Kluyveromyces lactis: one gene and its partners. The protein of the gene in region 1 purifies or fractionates together with the protein of each later gene. This does not show direct contact. Links are inferred from orthologs where the notes say so. Each region holds a gene or a part of one and is shown on either strand. Other genes may lie near its edges. The genes, in order: TIF6, NOC2, PUF6, CIC1, DRS1, RSA4 and ERB1.

What was found.
Region 2: the proteins of TIF6 (region 1) and NOC2 purify together in Saccharomyces cerevisiae (affinity purification with mass spectrometry; 4 studies listed by BioGRID, with this or other methods). This does not show direct contact. The link is inferred for Kluyveromyces lactis from reciprocal best matches to the Saccharomyces cerevisiae genes TIF6 and NOC2.
Region 3: the proteins of TIF6 (region 1) and PUF6 purify together in Saccharomyces cerevisiae (affinity purification with mass spectrometry; 6 studies listed by BioGRID, with this or other methods). This does not show direct contact. The link is inferred for Kluyveromyces lactis from reciprocal best matches to the Saccharomyces cerevisiae genes TIF6 and PUF6.
Region 4: the proteins of TIF6 (region 1) and CIC1 purify together in Saccharomyces cerevisiae (affinity purification with mass spectrometry; 3 studies listed by BioGRID). This does not show direct contact. The link is inferred for Kluyveromyces lactis from reciprocal best matches to the Saccharomyces cerevisiae genes TIF6 and CIC1.
Region 5: the proteins of TIF6 (region 1) and DRS1 purify together in Saccharomyces cerevisiae (affinity purification with mass spectrometry, with the first as the bait; 4 studies listed by BioGRID). This does not show direct contact. The link is inferred for Kluyveromyces lactis from reciprocal best matches to the Saccharomyces cerevisiae genes TIF6 and DRS1.
Region 6: the proteins of TIF6 (region 1) and RSA4 purify together in Saccharomyces cerevisiae (affinity purification with mass spectrometry; 4 studies listed by BioGRID, with this or other methods). This does not show direct contact. The link is inferred for Kluyveromyces lactis from reciprocal best matches to the Saccharomyces cerevisiae genes TIF6 and RSA4.
Region 7: the proteins of TIF6 (region 1) and ERB1 purify together in Saccharomyces cerevisiae (affinity purification with mass spectrometry; 5 studies listed by BioGRID). This does not show direct contact. The link is inferred for Kluyveromyces lactis from reciprocal best matches to the Saccharomyces cerevisiae genes TIF6 and ERB1.

Annotation. Positions count from the first base shown.
Region 1 is NC_006040.1:175,407-177,971, forward strand, and holds TIF6 (translation initiation factor 6), read right to left. Parts: upstream 1,239-2,565; coding exon 501-1,238; downstream 1-500. Other genes in the region: SEC9 (Sec9p), read right to left, coding at 1-141; KLLA0_D02068g (uncharacterized protein), read left to right, coding at 1,858-2,565. UniProt on the Saccharomyces cerevisiae protein: Binds to the 60S ribosomal subunit and prevents its association with the 40S ribosomal subunit to form the 80S initiation complex in the cytoplasm. Is also involved in ribosome biogenesis.
Region 2 is NC_006042.1:102,265-106,159, forward strand, and holds NOC2 (mRNA-binding ribosome synthesis protein NOC2), read right to left. Parts: upstream 2,640-3,895; coding exon 501-2,639; downstream 1-500. Other genes in the region: MEI5 (Mei5p), read right to left, coding at 1-235; GEP3 (Gep3p), read left to right, coding at 2,905-3,895. UniProt on the Saccharomyces cerevisiae protein: Involved in the intranuclear transport of ribosomal precursors.
Region 3 is NC_006039.1:1,047,906-1,051,601, forward strand, and holds PUF6 (pumilio-family RNA binding domain-containing protein), read left to right. Parts: upstream 1-1,207; coding exon 1,208-3,196; downstream 3,197-3,696. Other genes in the region: myo-inositol transporter ITR1, read left to right, coding at 1-652; CORVET complex subunit VPS3, read left to right, coding at 3,407-3,696. UniProt on the Saccharomyces cerevisiae protein: RNA-binding protein involved in post-transcriptional regulation. Component of the ASH1 mRNP which transports the ASH1 mRNA to the distal tip of the bud, where the ASH1 protein is translated and targeted to the daughter cell nucleus.
Region 4 is NC_006042.1:2,032,635-2,035,653, forward strand, and holds CIC1 (Cic1p), read right to left. Parts: upstream 1,632-3,019; coding exon 501-1,631; downstream 1-500. Other genes in the region: ELF1 (Elf1p), read left to right, coding at 2,534-3,019. UniProt on the Saccharomyces cerevisiae protein: An adapter protein that specifically links the 26S proteasome to its substrate CDC4 which is one of the substrate recognition subunits of the SCF E3 ubiquitin ligase complex. Required for turnover of cell cycle regulatory proteins CDC4 and GRR1.
Region 5 is NC_006042.1:1,453,287-1,457,481, reverse strand, and holds DRS1 (putative ATP-dependent RNA helicase), read right to left. Parts: upstream 2,748-4,195; coding exon 501-2,747; downstream 1-500. Other genes in the region: LMO1 (Lmo1p), read left to right, coding at 1-395; SYS1 (Sys1p), read left to right, coding at 3,307-3,900; CYR1 (adenylate cyclase), read right to left, coding at 4,031-4,195. UniProt on the Saccharomyces cerevisiae protein: ATP-binding RNA helicase involved in ribosome assembly.
Region 6 is NC_006039.1:748,364-751,784, reverse strand, and holds RSA4 (Rsa4p), read right to left. Parts: upstream 2,049-3,421; coding exon 501-2,048; downstream 1-500. Other genes in the region: IMG2 (mitochondrial 54S ribosomal protein mL49), read right to left, coding at 1-214; mitogen-activated protein kinase kinase kinase SSK2, read right to left, coding at 2,576-3,421. UniProt on the Saccharomyces cerevisiae protein: Involved in ribosome biogenesis. Required for processing and efficient intra-nuclear transport of pre-60S ribosomal subunits.
Region 7 is NC_006042.1:2,460,491-2,464,675, forward strand, and holds ERB1 (ribosome biogenesis protein ERB1), read left to right. Parts: upstream 1-1,385; coding exon 1,386-3,761; downstream 3,762-4,185. Other genes in the region: KLLA0_F26587g (L-methionine (R)-S-oxide reductase), read left to right, coding at 1-182; CSM3 (Csm3p), read right to left, coding at 3,888-4,185.

The DNA of each region.
Region 1 (2,565 bases):
CTTCCCATATGCGGCAAACTTTTCTCTTCTATTTGATGGTGTAGTCTTGGTGGAAATTCCTAACTCGTTCAAATATTCACGGTTTTCTTCGGGGGTAGCCTCTGGAGGTGGCTTGATCTTGAAGAACTTCTTAATACCCATGGTTTCACTACGGTAACAGCAACCTTTTAACCTTATTTGATCGATGTTCCCCTTTTACCTTGTCTTTACCTATCTAAAAATTGATGTTAAAGGAACTACAACTTTTCGATTCTTTTGTTTCATTTAAATTTAAAGGTTTCTTTTGGGTCCAGTAGTACTTAGTGAACCACGATGCACAAAATACAAAAGAAAGAAGGAAATAAACAGTATGGGGTTGATGCAAATGCCAAAGAGCAATCAAAATAAAAATTGTACTATACAGATCCAGAGATATACACCAATATTACATTAAAAAATGGGGCGATAATGGGGGCCAAAACGATATAAATGACAGAAGAGAGCGATTGTATCAATTCCTTTTATGAGTAAGTTTCGATCAAAGTATCACGCAAGTTACCAGAGATAGCTTCTGGTTGAGCGTCTTGTAGACGGAAGATAGATTCGATCACACTTAATTCTGGAGCGGTGGTATCTAGACCAGTAACTGCCAAATAGTCGTTCACGACCATACCAGCACCGACGACTTGCGAACCACGGTTCACAGTACCAGCAACTAGTGGGACTTGCAACAAAGAGGAAAGTTCTTCTTGGTCTTGTACTGTAGTCTGAGGATGCACTAGACCACCTTGGTTAGACAACGCACAATATGAACCAACAAGAACGTTACCCGAAATTGTTTGACGGAAAACTTCAACACCTAAGACATCGGCAATCAACTCCTCAGTTTCTCTGTCGATGTCTGGATGAACCAAAGCAACATAATCATTACAACAGATAACATTACCTAACGCAGATAATCTCTCCTCAACTCTTTGAACCTTCACAGCATCTGGCAAACAGTTTCTCAAATGTTGTAATTCTTGGTCGGTAGTTTGAGTTGGAACCAATAACCCTCTACGGTTACCAGCAGTCATACGACCAACAATCCTCGTACCTGCAATAGTGGTATGAGCAATAGGAATAGCATCTCCTAATTCGGCTTCAAACGCAGAATAAAAGTTCTCCGAACCACCAAGTGCCACCAAACAGTACGAGTTAGTTAGCTTCGAAAACACACCAATTTCGTTAGAATTCTCAAATTGTGTCCTAGTCGCCATAATTTCAGTTGATTTATCTGCAGTGGTATACTGGCGTAACAAGCAGAACTAGTGTTTATAAGTCAGAAGAACTGTACTAATTCAAGCCGAATCAACCATCCGCAAGATGAGATGAGATGAGCTTAGAAATTATCCAGTGAAATCTTTAAAATTTTCCATATTGCAGTGTTTTAAAGAAACGAAACACAAATTAGGTTACCCGGAGAAGAACACACATACAGTACTATATGGGTATCTCGTACCCTTATAGATGTATAAATTTGATCAGTGAGAGTTATCCAACAACCGTTCGAAGCTTAGACGAGAAATAGCTCTCCATTTCACATTCTTTCTTCTGATCACCAGACGATTCAACGCAGGGTATACCGTACACCTGAGCGTGTTTTATTTGTTACCCGCACTTGCGTCGAATATCTTCACTAAGTCGTCAATTTCCGACATTTAAACAGCTTCAAGCTGAAAAAGCGACACATTCACAACAAATATATTGACACAAAAGCATGTTGCATGTATCTAACCTGCAGTAAGTTACATTTACGAAAACATTTTAAAGCTGTTCGATCAGTGGCAAGCAATTCATAAGAATCAAGTTTCACTGAATCATTTTTCTCTTTCCAAGATGACTGATTGTAATAGTACAACGGAGCGCAGTTTGACGTCTGGATTGGAAGCAATGTCATTGAAGGCAATATCCCCATCGAAGTTGAATAGAAGGCATAAAGTCTCGAGCAAACCTGATAAATTGAATGAAAATGTCTGTTTGGATCGCAGAGCAGAAGTTTTGGTTAATACGGAAAATGAAATGCCAACAGAAATTGTCAGTAAGATAAAGAACGAAAACTTCCATTTGCAATTGGAATTGGAACAGAAGAACCATGAGATTTCCAAATTAAAGTCAATGCTCTTACCTAAACTGACACCACCTGCAATTGATCTAAGATTAACGACAAGTTTAAAAGACCCTTTGTACTACCATCCGGAAAGCAACAAAATTCCCGGTATGTCTGGGGCTACAGTGACAAATTCAGATTACGTGTCCCATTTCTCATCATCATCATACGATGGGAATAGAAATGACGTTAGAGAGACCTCAACCGTTGCTAGTACTACAATATCAAGAAAGGAAAAAAACCATATGTTGTTCACTAGGAATATTTTACCCTTTATTCGGGATTCCATCAACATGTATAAAAACTCCCATGTTTTAAATGAAGAAGTGGTCCCGATAGAAAAAGAGCTCGATAAGTTTTATGATAACTCCTTGAAGAAGGACGAAAAATGTGAAGTATTTTCTAATGTACTCTTAGGGTTACTCAGGGTACAGAGA
Region 2 (3,895 bases), on another chromosome or scaffold:
AAGTTTGCATTATTTTCACTGCCCTTTTCAAAGCAAACTCTTTCTTCGTAAGATCTCGTATTTGTCGATCAAGATCGTTCTCTAACCTCCGGATCTCCTTTAAAAGTAACACACTACCCGTAGATCTTTCTTCAGGGTTTCTGCAAGATAACTTGGGCAAGATATCACTAAATGAATCATTCTCTTGAACTAAGGTTGTTTCACTATCACCTTCAAAATTCATGACATTCGACATAACGCCTGTAATGAGTACTGGTATAAGAATTATTCCACTTGGTCAAGTTATGCCTACCGCAGATTGTACTCCCGAGCTTTGTATTCTGAATGTAATGTTGAGTATACATGTTTAAAATAATTTACATAATGTAATTTCTATTTTCATGAAATTTACCGCCGATGTCTTTGACAAGGAGGCAATCCAATATAAGATGGTCGAAGACATAGGATTACCAATGAATTTAAAATTGAAGAAAGTTTGAACTTATCATACAATCATTTGATTATTCATCTGCTTCAGATTCAGCATCATCCATTACTATGTCTTGGGCTCCGTCAGAAATATTTTCTTCTTCTTCATCATCGTCAGATTCCAAGGATTCTCTTAAGAGTCTGGCCTTTTCTTCCTTAACCTCATTTTGGATAGCAACCCAGGAACCAAGAGGAGTATCTTTCCACGATATTTCATTTAAGAATTTTTCTACTTCTGTTCTGTTGTTTGGTCCGAAGTCTACATCTGATCTCTTCTTTGTAATGAATTGAGCGTTTTGGTTGATTTTATCTACCACGTTTTGCAACATCTTGTTAAACTTTACATTCTCAGAATTCTTGATATAACGACGTAATGAGATAACGGCAAGCGTTGTTAATTCTGGGAATGAAACGCTTCTGGAGTATAGAACAAAGTACTCACCTAGCAAATCTACAAATTGCTCAGCTAGCCCGTCTTGGTATATTTTTGTCCCCAAGTATGCTTGTGTACACTTGATGTTATGATCAAAGTCAAATGCAGGTAACGTTGACTTTCTAGGTTTCTTTGTGAATGCAGTAGAGGAGAGAATCTCAGATAATAATGGGTAAACTGGAATGAAGATACCAGTGTTTTGAGATAATCTGATCAAGGATCTGATCAAATAAAATCTCAATGGGAAAAATTGTGCTGTTGGAATCAATCTAATGACACCAATGGTAACTTGGACTAGTGGGTAAATCAATTGTCTAAGAGGGGATTCGTGGCCGTTTTCCTTTTCTGGGTTACATTGGATGGATATAACACGAGACCAGAAGTCCAAAGAGTGACAGAACTGCCAGTTATATACAATCTTGTAAGCACTTGATGGGTCCACCTTTGAGGACCTCTTAGTTGTGGCATTGATACTGTTTCTCAAGTGAATGGCTAGTTGTCTGATATATTCGAAACCCGATTGATAACTTATAACGTCATCAATACCGAAAAGTTCAGCAGCAGAGTTCTTTTGGAAATTGATTAGAGGCATGTTTCTGATGTTAGTTTTACGACAACTTTTAATGAAAGTAGAATACGTGGACTTCAATACAACTTCTAATAAAGCTTTCTTATATTCACGAGAGGCATTGTTCAAAAACGCGAATGTGGCAATTTGAGTTTCAACGTCTCCAGTAGTGGACCAAACTTCGACGACTTGAGAAATTAATTCTTTTAGTAATCTTCTAAATGAAATAAAGTATGGTAATAGCTCATAGGTAGAATGCAAAATCATTGAAGCGACGTCTGTGTTTGTGATGTCACTTAGGAGAACGATAAGAGATGGAACGTGCGATTTCAAAACAGAGGACAATTTTGTAACATTTTTATTTGATGGGAGAGTTCTGGTTTCATTCTTACTGACCCTATAAGGTGTCAATTTTTGGACGGCTTTTGGCATATCCACAAGGGCAACGAACATTAACTCGTGGAAGGCTTTTTCATCAAGAACTGTGAACTTGTAATCGTCTACATTTTCCTCGTTGTTCATGTTCACAGCAGCTTTAAAAGCTGAAACCACACTTCTGATAGTTTTGAAAGATGGGCTATTTTTTAAATCCTTCTTCCATTTATTTACGAGCTTTATGTCGACGGCAATTTTGCTATCTTTTTCCTCCTTCTTGGACTTTGATAAATCAGGTTCTTTCAGTTCTTCTTCTTCACCCACTTGCCCTTCTTCGTCATCTGATATTTCATCTAGAGGATTGGTAGATTTGAAAGACAAAAGATCTGGTTCGTTCTCTGCCAAATATTTGTAGAAATCAGGATCCTTCTTTGCCAAATCTTCCATATCCATTTTAACATCTTCATCTTCTTCGGCAGAAGACTCTGAATCATTATCTTTCACCTTTGATGCTTTTTCGGTTTCTTTAGCCATTTTCTTTGACATTTTTGGAATATCGAACCCATTGTCGAAGAACTCTTCAACCTTCATGTCGTTGAAGACTTCTTCCTTAGCGGACTTCTTCAACTTTTGATCTTCTTTGGTCAACGCAGCTGCATTCTTTTCTTCTTCTGTCTTATTACCCCTACGACCGGCGGTTCTCTTAGAATGATCTTTTAACTTCTTTCTATGGTCCAACGTATGCTTCAAGTGTTTCGTCTGAAACTTTTTAGTAGCTTTTGAAACTTTACCCATTGTGTAATTCTTGATCCCTTTATCAATAGGTAACAGGTCCCAAGATTATGCCTTTGATCAACAATATGATTTCAAGAAGATTATCTAGAGCGACTACTGGTTAAGTTGTTAGAGCTGCGTTAAAGTTTCTCTATATCTCTTCTTGGGGCATCTCATCTCATCTCATCTCATCTCATCTCATCGGATTGAATTTTGGTTTGGATATTTGGAAAACTTTTCATGGCGTTTCTTTTTGTATCCGGGTAATGGCATCGCCTTGACATCGATGAATAGTGCAAGTAATATGGTAATTGACATGCTTGGAAAGGTATCGACAAAAGATGCAACAAACTGCAAACAGAATGTCGAGAGATGCAACAGTTTTGAGCCGTTATTGATAAGAGTACTGAGGTATATGCATCAGAAAATAGTAGTAGTATTACCTTTTATGAAATCACGGCTCCAAGCTTTTAAGCAGTTTACTCGGTTTGTATCATGCAAAAGCTGTGGTGTTGAGTTGCAATCCAAGAATCCTTCTGTGACAGGCTACTATAAGCCTCCTCGCGCTGTCAGGAAAGATGCTGGCACCATTGAAGATTTGAAGTATTTAATGTTCACACAAGAACTTCAGCTAAAAAAACATGAAATCGGGCTACTTGATCCAGACACCGATCCAGATTATAAAGAACCTATTCCCAAAAGATTGGTTTGTAAAAGATGTGTCGATGCTATAAGTCATAACAGGTACAACTCATCTGATTTTCCAATTCATTCTTTCAACGATATAAAGGGCGCTTTGCCGCATGCTGCAAACGTATACCACGTTGTGTCTTTGTCTGACTTTCCCTTGTCATTAGACAAAACTATCCTGGCAGAAAAGAATAATAGAAACTATTTACTACTTTCAAAGGCTGATCAGATCACATACAAGTCATCAATGCTACCACATAAAGGGAGTGCTTTTTTTGCGGAATTTTGTAGACGTCATATAGGCGTACATGTTAAGAAAGTAGTATTGTTCTCTAACCCAAGAAATTGGAATATTCCATCAGTGATAAATGCTTTGGCTAAAAGATGCTATTTATTGGGTAATCCTAACGTTGGGAAAACGTCTCTCATTAATTCTTTGCTCCATGAAAAATCAACAAGTTTCCAAGCTCAACTTGATAAGAGAGGCAACGTTATTGGTCCTCCAAAAGGCCACGAACAAATACAAAGTACTCGCCGTAGGGCCATCTTCAATGAAGGTGGAGTATCACATATTCCCAACTTTACCA
Region 3 (3,696 bases), on another chromosome or scaffold:
CGTTGCCGGTACTAACTTCGTATTCACTTTAGTCGCTTTCTTTGCGATTGATAAGGTCGGTCGTAGAGCAATCCTTTTGATTGGCTTGCCTGGTATGATGGTTTCCTTGGTTATGTGTGCTATCGCCTTCCATTTCCTAGATATAAAATTCACTGGCGCTGGTGAATCGGAAGTTTCCAATGGTGGATTCAGTTCTTGGGGTATAGTCGTTATCGTATTCATCATGGTATATGCAGCATTCTATGCTCTAGGTATCGGTACTGTACCATGGCAGCAATCTGAATTATTTGCAACATCCGTTAGAGGTGTAGGTACTTCTTATTGTACAGCTACTAACTGGGCTGGTTCCCTAATTATTGCATCTACCTTCCTAACAATGTTACAAAACATAACACCGACTGGTACATTTTCATTATTTGCTGCACTAGCTGCAGTATCTACCGTCTTCTGTTATCTCTGTTATCCAGAACTATCTGGTCTAGAATTGGAGGAAGTACAAACTATTTTAAGTGATGGATTCAACATCAAAGCTTCCAAACAACTAGCCAAGAAGAGAAAGCAACAAAATAGCGAAATGCAAAGGAGATTTAGAGAAAAGGACATGGAAGCTTATCAAAAGGATAAACCCTCCGATGAACTACTTGAAAGTTAATGTAAATGCAGTCATTCCCTCTTATTCTCATACCCGAAGCTACTGTCTTGGTTTTTCAATGAACTTCATATGAAGTTGAGTATATAGATAACCATAAAATCTTTTAGAATTAACAACTATAGCTGCTAAAGTTGTCCACAATTACTACTGTAATATTATCATTGTCATGTGTAAAACTCAACTTGTTTGTGATTTACAATAAAAATCTCGTTAGTTTGAAAGGGTGACATTTACTCATTTCATAATTAACTAACTCGGAAGAGAGAGCTTTCGAGAAATAGAGCTAAATCTTTGAAGCATGTAATAAACTGCCATATTCGGTTTAATCAGCCAAATCCTGTACCAACTGTATATTCCCCCCATCAAAAAAAGAGAGATTCTGGCGAATGTTTATTTGAGTTCTTTCTTTTTAGCATATTATGAAAATTTTCTGAACTTGAAAAAGAAGCGATGAGATGAGATGAGCTTATACAGTAGTAACTGCACTATGGGTAGCATTAAATAACAACATATACATTCTTATTCTCTCTCGTAGGACAATACAGCACTACAGATATGGCAGCCACGTCGAAAAAGTTGAACAAGCGTCAATTGGAATCTAAGGAGTCGAAGGATTCTGGTAAAATTGTAAAAAGAGCTAAAAACATTAGTGTTGATTCTGGCGATGAAGATTCTGATGATGTCCTCCACGGTTTATCTTCAGAAGATGAGCTAGATGATGAATTAGATGATGCTAGCTCAAATTCAGATTCAGACGAGCTAGACAACGAATCTGATCAACTGGATGAATCTGATGAGGATCAAGAAGATGCTGAAGATGAAGAAGATGCTGGAACCGGAAATGATGCAGACAAAAAAGAAAGTAATGGTGTCAGCCAGCATGCCGAACAAAGAAAAACATTAAAGGAGAGAAAACTTCAGCGTAAATCTGGTGAAACAGTCCAGCAGATCAAGTCTTTATGGGAAAGATTACGTGTCAAGAACCCTCCAATTCCAAAGCCTGTCCGTGAAAAGCTATGTAATGAGATCTGGGAACTCTCGAATGATTGTATTGAAGATTTAGTATTGAAGCATGATGCATCCAGAATTGTCCAGACATTAGTCAAATATTCTTCCAAAGAGCGCAGAGAACAGATCACGTTGGCATTGAAAGATAAAATTTATGTTTTGGCCACATCATCATATGGTAAATATTTGTTGGTTAAATTGTTACATTATGGTTCCCGAAAATCTAGACAAATCATAATCGATCAACTACATGGTAATTTGAGAAAACTAATGAGACACCGTGAAGGTGCCTATGTGGTCGAAGATTTGTTTGTTCTTTATGCCTCTCAAGAACAAAGAAATCAAATGATCAGAGAATTTTGGGGTTCAGAATACGCCGTATTCAGAGAATCTCATAAGGAACTTACGCTCGAAGAAGTTTGTGCTTCCAGCGTAGAAAAGAGAAATATTATCGCTAGAAACTTGATTGGTACCATCACTGCTTCTGTTGAAAAAGGTTCGGCAGGTTTCCAGATTTTACACGCAGCAATGAGGGAATACGTCAAAATCGCCAACGATAAAGAAACATCTGAGTTCATCGAACTTTTAGAAGAGAACTTTGCGGAATTAGTGCATACCCCAGAAGGTGCAGAAGTTGCATCTACTTTAATCGCTAAAGCAAATGCCAAAGAAAGAAAGGGGTTGATAAAGACCTTGAAAGAACATGCAATCAAGTTAATTCAAAATGAACACGGTGCCGTTGTTTTCATAACTTTATTAATGACAGTCGATGATACTGTTCTCGTCTCCAAGGCATTTTCCCCACCAATTAAGGAACATCTTCCAGAATTGATTGTTGATAAATTTGGTAGGAGGCCGCTCTTATTCCTACTTTTAGGATTAGATGGTAAATACTTCGGTCCAAATATGAAGAATGAACTACAAAGATACATTAAGATGTCGGAAACTACTTCCAAGAAGCCATTTGACCAAAGAAGACTTGAATTATTAAAAAGGTTCGCACCAATGATTTTATCTGGCGTAAACGAACACTACAAAACCATTCTAGATGAAAACATCGGTTCTCAATTTGTCGCAGATTTACTCGTTAACGATGATGTCTATGAACAACTTTCAGAGTCTGATCAAAAGTTGTTTGCCGAGCTTGTGGACACCGTCGCCATTTATTTCAAAGGTGACATTTCAGAAGAAGACCACCCTATTAACAAACCATTTTCGGCAAGGTTGCTAAAGTCTCTCATTCAAAATGGTAGATACAACGTGAAAGCAAGAAAACTAGAACCTCTAGAAAAAGTTCAGGGACTTGGTATTCCATTTGCTGAAAAATTTTATGAAGACATCATTGATTCCAGCAACCTACTCGATTGGATCAACAAACCCAACAGTTCTTTTACCATTGTGGCATTGTATGAAGCCTTACATGGGACTGAAGAAGGGGAACAATTCGATCATGATTTGAAAAAAGTGATCAAGAAAATAGAGACGAACGATTCAAACAAGGGTGCTCAACTACTTCTAAAGCTAATGAAGCATTGAGTATGTATAGTCAAGTCGTTATATAGTTTGGCTCTAAAATATGTATATTAAAGATGATATAGCTTCTCATCATTGTGGACGAAGGACGTTCTAGTCTACTATTAAGATTCACACTTCCTTAAATGAGACTATCATCTGCGAACCAGAGATAATACAGCTAAGAACATTTATTCCTCAATTCACTAATTACAGCAGTGGCATTGATGGCTTATGAATGACGATACTAAAGAGAAACCCATTTCAACTGCCTTTGAAGTAACCGATGGATTATATGCTGTTTCACCATTAATCGAGAATGTGCCTCATGAATATGAGTACTCATGTATCGAATATTATGGTCAGCACATCTACCTGGGCTCGACTTCAGGAGCGTTACTACACTATTATGAATTAGATGTTGGAAATTTCACACTGATCTCGGAAGTCAACTTCAATGAAGACAGACCAACAGGAATTGATGGCATAACGCTACTGCCGAAAATTGATAGAGCCTTAGTGTT
Region 4 (3,019 bases), on another chromosome or scaffold:
AACTACGAATAAGCACGAATAACAGAGGTGATGATGTGAAAGTTTGTGAAATCTGTGGTTTATATAATATTTGACATATGTTTAATATAGTAATTAAATCTTTTTGTGACACTTTTATTTTTCGTTTTTCCTTTTCCTTCACTGACTGCATGGACGCACCAGTCCACACAGAAAAACCAGCAAACCTAAATGTGGCACATCAGAAAAGTTGTTCGAGCGGCGATGGGTTTGCACCATCCAAACAATACTAGGAATAACGTTTTCCTGCTGGTTCGAAAACGCACTGAATTTAACTACTGTTATTCTTTTATGAATTGCAAAGTATCGATGCTATCTGGAAAATTTGAGTACAGATTAAATACATTTTGTAGGGAAAACTATCATTGTAGGAGCGGTGACAGCCGTTAAATCTATGCTAAATGGGTAAGTTTTAAGACGATATTTGTGAAGGATAGAAATTAAGAAAGAGGAATGAAAAAAAACGCGATACTCCTGTACCTCTAATTTTTTACGTTTTTATTCTTTGTCTTTTGTCTTTTAGCGCTGGATTTTTGTTCTTTCGTTTGCTCTTTCTTTTGTTCTTCTTGCTCTTCTTCTGCCTCGACCTCTTCCAAGTTTCTTTTGGCTTGCTTAATTTGCGTAGCAAACAAGGAGTCTAGTTCGTCTGGATTTGCAATTTCTAACAAAGATTTCTCAAATTGTGATAGTTGCAATTCGACACCATCAATTTCTATGACATTTTGAACGGAAGTCTTAGCATCATGTCTGGACCCAACCAATTTGTCTAATACTTCCAAATTAACGTATAATGGAAGGACTGGTGATTCGTTAGATTTGAGAAGAATGGTTCTGATATTGTACTTTTCGATGAACTGTTTAGCGACAGAAATGATATTTTCAGTCAATTGTTCTGGGGTGAACCATTCCAATGAACCTAGATGAACATTCATCGTGTTACCTCTTGGAAGTTTGACTGGGATTTTAGTATCATAAATTCTCTTGATGCTATTTACCAAAGTTGTCTTGTTAAACTTGTTATCCGATCTTGTGTTAATGGCAATTGGAGTGGTATTCAACTTACTGTATGCTTTACCACCTAATAGCTTGGGCAAAGCTGTCACTATCGAGTCATCAGCTAGAATGAAAGAAAAATCCTGTACAAATGCACGCCTCTTTTCAAAAGCCTTGTATTTTGTCTTCAAATCTTTACCAGATATGATGGCATCAATAGTAATATGTTCTGGAAGTAGATCGATCAAGTCTTCTGATGTCACTGAATTGATATCAGAATCTTTTAGAATCAAAAGAGTCTTGAAATCTTTAACCATGGTGGTGCTAGCTTCCTTCCATGGCTTGAAGATAGAATGAGGAACTGTAATTAGTTTTGGTTTGAAGTTTTTCAAAGAACCAGTAAAAGATTCAGTGTTGACTAGGATCAACTGTAGCTGAGCCTCCAATTCAGAATCATCAATTAACTGATTGTCATTTGATCCATTTTCCTTCAAATATTCTTGCAATTTAATAACAGCATTGTTAACTCTGTTAACTGGAATGACTTCTTCCTCTTTACTGCCCTTAGTAGCCTTGGTGGCTTTGGTCGAAACCTTGCTTTTCTTAGTTTTAGTTGCCATATTATCTAAACTTTGATATTGCTTATAATGTGCTTGTAGATATACTAGACTGGATGAGTGGAGTTATTTCCTCTATATTCTGGATTCTTTCCAAGCGTTTTTTAACTTACTTGATTCGCACTGTCTCAGAAAAAGATCAACAAATTGTTGGTTCACCTAGGTAAGCTTACTTCTCGAGTTCGTACTGGCAACTATGAAATATCCAGTATATATCTAATCAATCCTTTGAGCTGAGAAATAAGAATAGGTACTTAAATACTTTACATACCATTACTTTATTAATCGTGTTAGGTGTGCAACATACTTCGAGATGAGATGAGATGAGCTATGATGAGATGAGCTCTCTATTGTCAAAAATAAAAATTTTCTGTTTCGCAGGAGCTCCACTGTGTTCACGTAGTTAGTAAATATTGCTTTTTGAAAGCGAAGGCCGTAATATATGATTTGAAACTTTTCTTGAAATTTGATAACATTTGACACTTAAGAAATAAAGAGTAACCGAATCTGATATTGAATCTCGGTGCGTGTTTGTGCAAAAGTTACTAATGAGCAACGGGCTACGTTCAGTGAATGGGGTTACAATACAAAAGGGCTTAAACTGTGTATTTTAGGGTTTCTTTCTCTGGTTTATTTCGGAACAGTACTATTTTTGAGTTAGGTTTTTTCGGCTGTCAAACAGGACTCACGATCGATATAAAGGATACCTTAACAGAGAATACGCCGCACGAATCTGATTTATGAGTTATTAAGTTGCTATTATTATTATTATTATTATTATATCGTAAACATAGTCATCGTCCCCGTTCATTTATACTGCAAAAGGCATATTAGCATATATTAATCAAATCTAGCCGCAGGGGTAAGCATACGCTCTCACAAGACAAATAAGAAGAGCATTAGACATGGGTAAGAGAAAGAAGTCATCCAGAGGTCCAGCCAAGAAGATAGTACAGAGGTTAGATACGGCATTCAATTGTCTCTTCTGTAATCACGAACGCTCTGTGAGCGTAACAATGGACAAAAAGAATAACATTGGCTCGCTTCATTGTAAGATTTGTGGACAATCGTTCCAAACCCGCATTAATGGTCTATCACAACCGGTAGATGTATATAGTGACTGGTTTGATGCGGTTGAGGAAGTTAACGAAGGGAAACATAGCGAATCTGAAGATGAAAACAGTGACAGTGACTACGAGAGTGACTCTGATACTGAGCCTTCTTCAAACCGTAGAAAAGCTGTTGGAATAGATTCTGACGAAGAAGAAGAAGAAGAACAAGAAGAAGACGAAGATGCGGATTACGGAAGAAAAGGAGCGACCGAACGAAAAGACTCAGAACCAGAATCAGACTCAGACGATGACGGTAAAATATCTAACAAAAGAGGAAGA
Region 5 (4,195 bases), on another chromosome or scaffold:
ACATTCAAAGTAGGCAAATTGAACTCGATAGAAAGCTTCCTGAAGGTGTTAGATTGATTAATATTCTTCAGAACACAATTTATAGAGAAGTTACCACCTTTGACAGAAACGGGAAAATTTTATCTGCATTTTACTTGGAGAGTACAGAGAGCTTCTACACCTGGTTGGATGGTTTACAATTATTATCACAAAGTAAACACGCCAAATTATCACCAGAAACTGAGAAACAAATCGATACATTAATAAAATTAAGAAGGAACGTCCAACTTGCTGCTCTTGATGATAAATTTAGAGATGATGAGTCACTGGAATCCTTCTCAGAGGAGGAAACGGATGACTTTTATTACAATCCAGAAACTCTAAAGCAACTCTCGATGGGTATATATTACGAATGAGAGTTGATGATTATGTAATAACACCTCAACTGCGTTTATGTAGTATATAATGAATTTTCATGCGCATTGATAATTAAGCCAAAACTAAGAACATAGGACAGTAATTTATTTCTTACCCTTCTTTCCCTTCTTTCCGTAGGCAGCTTGCTTCTTGCTGTATTGACGTTCCTGATATTCGACACGATCTTTTTGTGTCTTTTTATATAGCCGAGGATTCTCAGCCAATGCTTCTTGCTGTTTTCTCTTCTTACTGTTGATTGGCTTTTTGTTTTTTGCCAAAACTTGAAGCATTTTAGAGTTCTTCTTCTCAGCTTCTGATTGAAACCAGGTTCTTCTTGGCCTTGCACTGATTTCTTCCTTGTGTTTTAGCATGTTTTCACCTTTGCGAAGTTCCATTTCAGCTCTAAGTATCTCTTTCTCTTGCTTTTCTTCTTCAATAATCTCCTCTACAACATCACCCTTTGCTCCAATCAAGCTGTTGACTTGCTCGACTTGTGTCCAGTCAACGTTTCTACTCAAGGCCTTTCCACTTTCAGCGTTTTCTTCCACTGATCTGATCGCACTTCTGACAATACTTCTATCTTGAGATGATTCGCCTACAAAGGTTACTGAACGACCTTCTCTACCCGCTCTGGCAGTACGACCAACTCTGTGTAAGTAAATTTCGTAAGTTTTTGGCATATCGAAATTGATAACCACTTCAATTTTTGGAATATCTAAACCTCTCGAAGCTAAATCGGTACAGATTAAGACTGGTACTTGTAAGGATTTGAAGTTATTAACAGACTGTAGACGTTGTTCTTGGGTTAACGAACCATGCAATTCACCAACTTGCATACCCAATAACCCAAGGACGATTCTCAGTTTATGGGCAGTTTCTTTCCTAGCAACAAAAACTACTATTCTCTTCTGGCTTGTATTGTCCAACTTTCTAATCAATTGATATAATAATGCCGGTTTGAGATGATCTCTTTTACGTATACGGATGAACTCCTGTGTCAATTTATCTGCTGCTTGTTTTGGAGGATCAATCATAATCCTAACAGGCTTCTTTAGAGATAGCGAGATTAATTGCTTAATTTTTGAGTTCATTGTAGCAGAAAACAACAGAGTTTGTCTCTTACTTGGAATGAGAGACATGATTTCTTGTAGTTCCTCTTGGAAACCTTCTTCTAACATTCTATCAGCTTCGTCAATGACCAAGATTTCAACTGAATCAACGCTGAAACTCGCAGAATTTCTTAAATGATCGATAAATCTACCTGGTGTGGCAATTACGATATCAGGTCTGGTCTTCAATGCTTGTTCTTGTTGTCTTAAATTCAAACCACCGACGGCCAAACCAAACGTTAGTCCGTTAACAAACTTACCGATATTTTTACCAACATCAGCCACTTGAATAGCCAATTCACGGGTTGGAGTTAGTACAACAACCCTTGTTGATGCAATATGTGCAGGTTTGTACAACAAACGTTCGATGATAGGAATCATAAAAGCAGCTGTTTTACCAGAACCTGTAACAGCACCGGCAATGATATCTTTACCAAGAAGGGCAATAGGAATAGCAGCACTTTGAATTGGAGAAGGACTGGTGTATCCTAAACTTCCAAGCCCTTTCAACACAGGACGGGATAACGACAAGCTGTTGAAAGTTTTATGAACGATCTTTTTAGCATCCGCACTTTCCTCTTCTGGAGCATAAAATTCAGCCATTTCTTCTTTAGTGTCTTCTTCAATGTCTTCATCTTCGTCTTTTCCCTTACCTAAATCTGCCTGACTCATTTCGGTCTTTTTGTCGTCATCTTCGTCGTCATCCTCTTCTTCTTCATCCTCTTCATCTTCTTCATTTTCCTCTGTTGCCTTTCTCTTGACACCCATACCGAACCCATCCAAAGCTAATTCATCTTCATCATCACTCTCGCCAGGTTCGTCTCCTTCTTCTGGTTCTTCTTCGGACTCTTCTGATAGGCTTTCTTCGGCATCACTGCCTGTAGCAGCCATCATAATCAAACCACCTTTTCTTCTAATGATCCCATCTAGATCGACATCTTTTTTCTCAACTTCATCACTCTTCTCATCACCTTGGAAATCCCAGCCTGCAAAGTTGGTGGTAACTTCTCCGCTGTCAATGGAGAATTGGAATTCTGGATTCAAATCTTCATGGACATCTTCGTCCAAGTGAGATCCCTGTTGTTGCTTGGCCTTCTTTTTAGATTTGTTCTTAGTTTTTGAGGACTTCACTGGCTTCTTTTCCATTTCGTCATCAGAAGCATCTAAATCTGGAACATCTTCTTCGCTATCACTAATTGTAGGAACAAAATCATCGAATGATCTAAACTTCTTAACAGCCATATTAACGAATGCCGTATATCTCTTTATTTTCCACTTACCTTAATACTCAATCAAAGAACAACAAGAATTCTATTCTTTCTCGCAAAGTAGAAATGAGTGAAGAATAATAGCACTAGATAAATAGTATGTCACCTGTAGAAGTTATAATAAGGAACAATGAACAGTACTCACTGCTAAGTTATTCTAGTTGTCGTAGCTCATCTCAAGCTCATCTCATCGCCATTCCAGATGTGAAAAGCTTGAACATGGAAAATTTCTTTTGAGGAAAAACATATCGTCAAGTTAGGGTAACCACTGGTTGTCAACATGGAAACTAGTTCGGAATCTCTAAGCAACATATTAAATCCAAGATGAGTTGTGATTGAGACATGATTTGAGAGACTTGAAAATAAAGACAGAATTGAGTAGTTAGTCCTCTTTCGTTACTTATTGCATTCCTCCTATAATATTCGGTGAATTCTTTTGGTTGTTCGCACCAGTTATATTTGATAGAATTGAACTGTACCAAGTGCAGTTTTAGAAAGGCGACCGATTAGAGACATTTCAACCAATCAGGGAGATGGCTTCGCTTAGACGATACATGCGTGTTCCGAGAGAACTATTACCCACTGAAATCTTCAAACAAGAGTCTCAGTCCCCTGGTAAAATAATCGTTCAGATTATACTCTTGCAAATGTTCTATTATCTCACTGCATCAACTTTGTTTTATTGCTGGGCGAAAATATGTGGGTACGAAATAAAGCTAAAGCAATGGTTGTTTACATGGCAGGACATTGATTTCTCAAACTCTTTTGGTATTTCTTTATCAGCCCTTTGGTTAATTGATTCCTTGATTTGTGTCTTTTTTTTGACCATCATAGTGGGAAGGAGTAAACTCGCGTGGGATTTTGCCATTACAATCCATGCTATAAATCTAGTAGTAGTATGGACACACACAGGGCTATTCCCTTCACTAGCATGGTTTATCTTGCAATTTTTGTCTACACTGATATTGATTTTCCTTGGGACTTGGATTACCAGGTGGAGAGAGTTGAAAGACACATTTTTCGAAGGTATGGTGGATGACGATTCTGCACCTGCCAGTGCCAGCCAGCCAGCTTCTCAAGTTCCAGGGAAAAGCATCGAACTTAGAGATCTAGAAGCACAAAAATAAAAAGTTTTGCATGTTTATATACTTATGTAATGGAAATGTGTTATATTATTCTTGATGAAATCACGACAATTAATCAAAGGGTCCGAAACCATGAGACATTTTCGACGTAACAATAAAGAAATCAAGTCCTCTACTCCTCCGGAAAAGATTTGAAGCTTTGTTGCTCGCTCTCGTCATTATGGCTGTTTTCTATGTATAATTGGTTTCTGGCTAGAAGGTCATCCAGCAATTGGAAGATTGATTTCTGTTTCATTGCATCACCAGATTTGTATATGGTTAAACCACCCTGGACCTG
Region 6 (3,421 bases), on another chromosome or scaffold:
GACTTTGACTGTCAAATAAAGCACTGAGTTCGGCACTTTCGGCATCAGATAATGGTCCCAATTTGTCCATTTCTGATTTAAGTTCATTTAAAAGCTCAATTTCTGAGTTTTCCTGTTGTTGTGGTTGCTGTGCTTGGGTTGATTGTAGTCTAGTACAAATCCGAAATGATCTTGGGCTCATAGCCGCAAAACTTCTTGTAACTCTTGTAAGCATTATTAACTAGCCGTTGTATTATTAGTAGGCTGTTGTGTGGTTATGCAGGTTTTCCCGGTGTACACCTTTCTTACTATATAGATAACTTATCGATTTCCTATGGTAAATGCCGGCTGAATCGTTCTTCATCTTTTCAACTATGCTTGAAGCTTTAATTTTTCAAAATTTTCAGCTTGTAAGAAGAAGGGACACCTGTGCACCTCATAATAAATGTAAAAGAAGCTATAACATACATAAGGCAGTCTATAATTTAATCATGCTAATTATTCAGATGCAGTGGATCCACTCAATGAGTCCATATCCTGACCATTTTATCTTTCCCACCGCTACATACACGTTTACCGTCTACAGACCAATCTACAGTGTAGACTTCATCTTGATGACCGGGTAGATCGACGGACAGTTTTCTAGTTTTGACATCCCAGACTTTTAAAGTGGTATCTTTGGAACAAGAAACGAGTAGTCTACAGTCGCTTGACCAAGCTACTTGGTAGACACTCGCTACATGTCCTCTAAAGGTGGATAGGAATTTACCATCCCTTCCATCCCATAATTTAATGGAGTTGTCAAAGGATGCAGAAACAATGTAACGGCCATCTGGCGAAAATGCAACGTGGTTGACGAGCTTTTGGTGGCCGGTCATTCTGGTAATAGGTTTAGTAGACTTCAAGGGGTTCCACAGATACATAGTAAAATCGTCACTGGCAGTTACCATCAGTTCTTCGAAGTCACCTTTTCTTTTAGCAACTTTTTCGTAATTTTTCAGAGCCTTCTGTTGGGCTTCTTCAGGTGAAGCAGGAGTTTCGCCCTTGTGATCGAACGCACCGAGTCTTAATGCATAATCTGTTGAAAGTGAAAGATGATTAACCCAATGGGCGTGTGATTTTAGGATATTGATACATTTACCGTTCAAATTCATGTCCCAGCATCTGATTGTTTTATCGTGAGAACCACTGTATAGAACATTTTTTCCACCCCACTTGACACAGGAAACAGAAGACGTATGGCCACATAAGGTTAAAAGGCAAACTCTTCTTGTTGTATCCCAGATTTTGATAGTTCCATCCTTGGATGCAGTTGCTAATCTCGGTTTGTCACCAGGTTTGACAAGATGGATTGGTTCCCAAGATAAGGAGGTAATCCATTTCGAGTGACCTCTTAAAGCATCACCATAAGGCTTACCTTTGCTTGATTCCCATAATCTAATTGTGTTGTCCATAGAACCTGTGGCGATTAATTCACCATCTGGAGACCAGGAACAACATAGGACCCAGTTGTGATGGCCTTGTAACGTGCACATACGCGTTTGAGTGTCACAATCCCAGATACATGCAGTATTGTCACCAGCACCGGTAACCATCCTGGAGCTTGTATTTGGAGCAAATGCAGAACACAAAATTGTCGAGCCATGACCAGCAATTGCAGAAGACGACCGAGTTACTGGTTTTACTTTGAAGATAGCTCTTGGGGTATACACTAGAGTCAAAAAATCTTCGGTAGTTTTCAAACCTGGTTTTAAAATGGATTGATATAGATTATCTCTAATATCTACCATTTCCTCATCTGCATCCTTCTTTTTGTTGCTAACTAAACAGCTAAACGTGTATGGAACAGGATCTGCCGAGTCTCCATTTAACTGATTCAACAATTCCTCCAGTTGCTGCTCCGAAATACCACCTGGAACCCTTAGAGAACCTCCAACAGTTTCACCACTGTCAAAAGCTTGGAATTTAATGAGAACATTTGGAAGGTCTTTGGGAATAAGGTCAACTCCACGTTCAGCTTGAGCTTCTCTTCTTTGCTTCTTTGAAGGCGGTGGGAGTAAGGTTGCCATGTTTCGTTTGGATTGCTTGGCCTAACAAATTCAGAGAATTATTTTGGGCTCGTTTAATTACCTAAAAACTTCTTTCGAGAAAAGACCTGTGATTATTGCTGGAATACTAATATCGTTCACCAGAACCTTCTCCTTTTTAGGGAAGTCGACTTGGTAGTTGAAGCTCATCTCATCTCATCTCATCGGCATCTCAAAAGATTTTCTTGAACTTAAGAATTTCTTTTAGTTCACCACTTCCGGGTAATATAAATCTTTATTATGTTGAAACTATGCTCTGAATACCTTATGGGGAGCATCAGGCACAAAAAATTCCTAGACTGCAATTTACTTACTGGCAAGCAACTCACAGATAACGGAAAGTGCATGTTACATTGATACTATACGGATCCGGCATTGTTTAAAAAAAAGTCAAACAAAAGTTCCTATTATTATTATATATACATACAATACTTATACAAAAAAAAAATCTATGGTTACAATTGTTACATATGATCGTCATGGGGAGGAAACTTTTATGTCTATCAGAACTAGTTATGAGTTTCATTATTAAAAGATTCTGCATTGCCACCAAATGCAATGTTACGTATTTGAGAAATCCAGGGATCAAGTAACAATTCCATTGCAGTTGCTCTTTTATTGGCATCTTGTATTAAGCATCTGCTTATGAACTTTCTACCCGCAGATGAAATTTCAGACTTGGTTGGGAATTGCGGAAGGTGACCAGCTGCAACATGATACATGATAGCCCATTCATTGTCTAAGTTAGCCCATGGACGTCTACCGGTCACCATTTCCAGTACAACACAACCTAAAGACCATATATCATCGGATCCGAATTTTCCGTGTCCTTGACCAGTCACCGTTTCTGGTGCCATATACATCGGTGTTCCGATCATATCTTTCCCGCCTGTAGATTTGTTATTGGCATCCAGTGATATCCTCTTTGATCCGTTCTTTGCAATGAGTTTTGCGGCACCAAAATCTACATATTTGATAACGCCATTACGATCCAATAAGATATTCTCCGGTTTGATATCTCTGTGCACAACTCCAGATTGGTGCAAACATGCCAATCCCTCAAGTAATTGTAGTGTGTAAACTTGAGTTACCATTTCATCTTCAATCCGGCCATGTTCGAGTAAACTGGCTAAGGAGGAACCCTCGCAGAATTCCATAAAGATATTAACCTTGTCTCTGTGAACTTCCACACCATAGTACTGAACAATATTCGGGTGATTTAAGATCTCCATGACGCGCATTTCTTCTTTGAGAGATGGGAAAATTTGCTTCATGGATTTAGCATCTTGGATTTTGATCTCTTTTACCGCTAAAATATCACCAGTATCTAGGTTAACAGCGGAATATACAGTACC
Region 7 (4,185 bases), on another chromosome or scaffold:
TCCCAGGGCATATAGCATGTGATGGGGAGACAAAGAGTGAAATTGTGGTTCCTATAGTCCAAAATGGCGAAACAGTAGGTGTTATCGATATTGACTGTTTGGACTACAACGGGTTTACTAAGCTTGACCAAGAATTTCTAGAAAAATTGGCCGCTTCAGTTTCAAAGACATGCGTATTCTAACTCATTAAGTAGTTACACTCGTTAATTATATTCTCTCAATTGATATCACAACTCTTGACCGTATATGAAGTTGCCTGTTATTGCATACCTAACATAGGGCATGCTGCCCCAGGTCCAGTGGAACAGAAGTTTTCTAGTTTTCAATGAAAAAAATGATTTCGCCCAGGATCGAACTGGGGACGTTCTGCGTGTTAAGCAGATGCCATAACCGACTAGACCACGAAACCATCTTGTGAGGTCTGTCGTAATATAGACTGAAGACAAGCCAGACGAGAGGTCATGTGAGCTAGCCAGCACACGGCAGAGTTCCAAGACGTCAGTGACTGGGCATATGGATCCTGTGGTATCCAGAAGGGATGGCCTAGATGGATCATAGACGGTCACGTGATGGTCTTGAGTGCGCGTGGAGGACGGTAGCTGCAGAGGACCTACAAGGGCATGGAGGCAATGAGTTGCCATGACGAAGTCTGACGACCATCCGAGTATATAAGTCGAGTATAAAAGGCTGAGCTATGTTGCGACCTCTTGGGGAGGTTGGACGCATATACTCAACGATCTAACTAAATAGATTATTATATTATATTCGTTATATTGTTTGATATCAACGATCCCTCATCAGGCGATTAATCAATCAACTATCATCCAAGGCATATCACAACAAGATCTGAGAGAACTACATGAGTATATGTTACATCGTTAAGAGTTTCTGAAGAAACGAAATAGGTCTCTCTTATCAGCGCCCCAAATTGGAATAATGAAGTTTACTGGAAATAGCTTCTTCAATGATGAAATTACAAACTTGAAAACGATGTTGCATCTACTAGAATAAAACTAAGATAACTGTCTATGATGCAAAAAAAATAAGAGTTAAGAATTACATTCATTGTAGGCTAGCGACCAAAGTAAATATCTTCAACGTAAGTAGAAGTATATGTGGAGTTGATTGAATACCAGTTCCCTATCTTTGCTGAAGGGTACTTTGACTTTTTCAAAATAGCATTCTTGTTCAAAACTTTGTAGAAGTAATTAATGTATCGTAATTTTCTTTCTTTTTGTTTCTTAAAATTTTCAATTTTCATCTTGAGAGATGAGATGAGATGAGCTGAAGTGAATAGACCACAGAGATAACCAGTACTTCTCAAAGTTAACGGCATCAGAAGAAGCTCTGAAAGTATAGAGAGCCAGAAAACAATACCAGAAACTATGGCCAGAAAGAATTCTTCTTTGAATGGTTCTGAATCAGCGGAGCTTGTTGTAAAAAAGAGAGTTCTCGAGGAATCTGAATTGTCCGATTCTGAAGATGAAAGAATTGAAGTTGATGGTTTAATCGATGAAGAGGCTAGCGAAAATGAAGCTGAGGAAGCTGAAGATGACGACTCTGATGCTGAATTCAATCGCTTATTAGCTGAAGAAGAAAATGGACAGGAGGAGGAGTATAATACTTCAGATTTTTCTGAAGAAGGCGATGCTTTTTCCATTACCGACAAATTGTCAAATGTAAAGTTAACAGTGATTCCAGAAACAAGCGATGAAGGCATTGTTCGTACCAAGTATTCAGATGGAAGACCAAGAATTCTTAAGTCAGAAATTAATCCTGTTTATGATAGTGATGATAGTGATGCAGAAGCTAAGAACACAATTGGTAACATCCCACTATCTGCATATGATGAAATGCCACATATTGGTTATGACATTAATGGTAAGAGAATAATGAGACCAGCCAAAGGATCTGCTTTAGATCAATTATTGGAATCTATAGAATTGCCAGAGGGTTGGACAGGTTTACTAGACAAAGACAGCGGTGCCTCTTTGAATTTGACCGAAGAAGAACTTGAATTAATCAATAAGTTGCAAAATAATCAACAGACGGACGAATCTGTGAATCCATACGAACCTTTAATCGACTGGTTCACTAGACACGAATCTGTAATGCCAGTTACGGCCGTCCCAGAACCGAAAAGACGTTTCGTTCCGTCAAAGCACGAAGCCAAGCGTGTGATGAAAATAGTCAAAGCAATCAGAGAAGGTAGAATTATCCCACCAAAGAAACTAAAGGAATTAAGAGAAAAAGAAGAACAAGACAGTCATAACTACGATCTCTGGGGAGATGCCGAAGAAATCTCTGAACATGTTATGAACTTGAGAGCCCCAAAATTGCCACCACCAACAAATGAGGAGTCTTACAACCCTCCGGAAGAGTATCTTTTGACCCCAGAGGAAATTGATGCATGGGAAAAGATGGAACCAAGTGAAAGAGAGAGAAATTTTGTGCCTCACAAATTCGCTGCATTAAGAAAAGTTCCAGGTTACTCTGAATCTGTCAGAGAAAGGTTTGAAAGATCATTAGATTTGTATTTAGCGCCTCGTGTTCGCAAAAATAAGTTGAACATTGATCCTGAATCTTTGATCCCAGAATTGCCCTCTACAAAAGATTTGAGACCATTTCCAATCCGTTGCTCTACCGTTTATGTCGGTCATAAAGGAAAAATTCGTACAATGTCCATTGATCCAACTGGATTATGGTTGGCTACTGGTTCCGATGATGGCACTGTCAGAGTATGGGAAATTCTTACAGGTAGAGAAGTTTACCAAGTCACAATACTTAATGCGGAAGAAAACAATGATGACCACATAGACGTTGTTGAATGGAATCCCGACAGTACTACCGGTATCCTTGCGGTTACTGCTGGCGAAAACATCTTCTTGCTTGTTCCACCAATTTTCGGCTTTGAAATTGAAAACACAGGTAAATCAAAGATTGAATACGGTTTTGGTTTCGATACTTTCGGAAACGTCAAAAAGAGTAATCTCAATGTGAATAGCGATGATGAGGATGACGGTGCTGAATCACATGCTGTCAAGAAACAGGTTGCTCAATGGAATAAACCAACCGAAAGGCAAGCTGCCAATGATATTTGTATCGTAATAACTTGTCGTAAATCAGTGAAAAAGCTTTCATGGCATAGAAAAGGTGATTACTTTGTCACTGTTCAACCAGACTCAGGTAATACATCAGTTTTGATTCATCAATTATCCAAGCATTTAACTCAATCGCCATTCAAAAAATCTAAGGGTATCATTATGGATGCAAAATTCCATCCATTCAAGCCACAGCTCTTGGTCTGTTCTCAAAGATACGTCAGAATTTATGACCTATCGCAACAAGTGCTAATCAAGAAACTTCTACCTGGTGCTCGTTGGTTATCTACTATTGATATTCACCCAAGAGGTGATAACTTAATTGCATCCTCGTTTGACAAGAGAGTGTTGTGGCATGATCTTGACCTTGCAAGCACTCCATATAAGACCTTGAGATACCATGAGAAGGCTGTAAGAAGCGTAAGTTTCCACAAGAAACTACCACTGTTTTGCTCAGCTGCGGATGATGGTAACATCCATGTTTTCCATGCCACGGTCTATGACGATTTAATGAAGAACCCTATGATCGTCCCGTTGAAGAAACTAACCGGCCACAAGATTGTGAATAGTTTAGGTGTTCTAGATACTATATGGCATCCACGTGAAGCTTGGCTATTCTCTGCAGGTGCCGACAAAACCGCTCGTTTGTGGACTACCTGATAGAACCCTCATGACGGGATATTTGTAAAACACTGTATACTATGGACATCATTACCTATCAATATTACAAGTAGATACTTTCTAATTAGTGTTCAAGGGAATACATTATTATCTTTGGATCAGAGCTCAAAAGGTATCCATGTCTCTCATCATTGCCATTTCCTCATCTGATGCGATATCATTACCGTTATTTGTTGTGCTGGCAACGGTCGTAATTTTACTCAATTCGTCTAACTCTTCAGCGTTAGGCAGAGCGTAGCCATTTTGTGTATGTTGCCGTATGTTTGTATCAGTGGTGGACAACATTTCATTCGTGTGCCGCTGGTGATGCGAAGAATATAGAACATCATCATCATCATCATCATCATCATCATCGTCATAGTTGCCGTCATTATTCTGATTTTTGTCTTTGTCTAGGCTGATA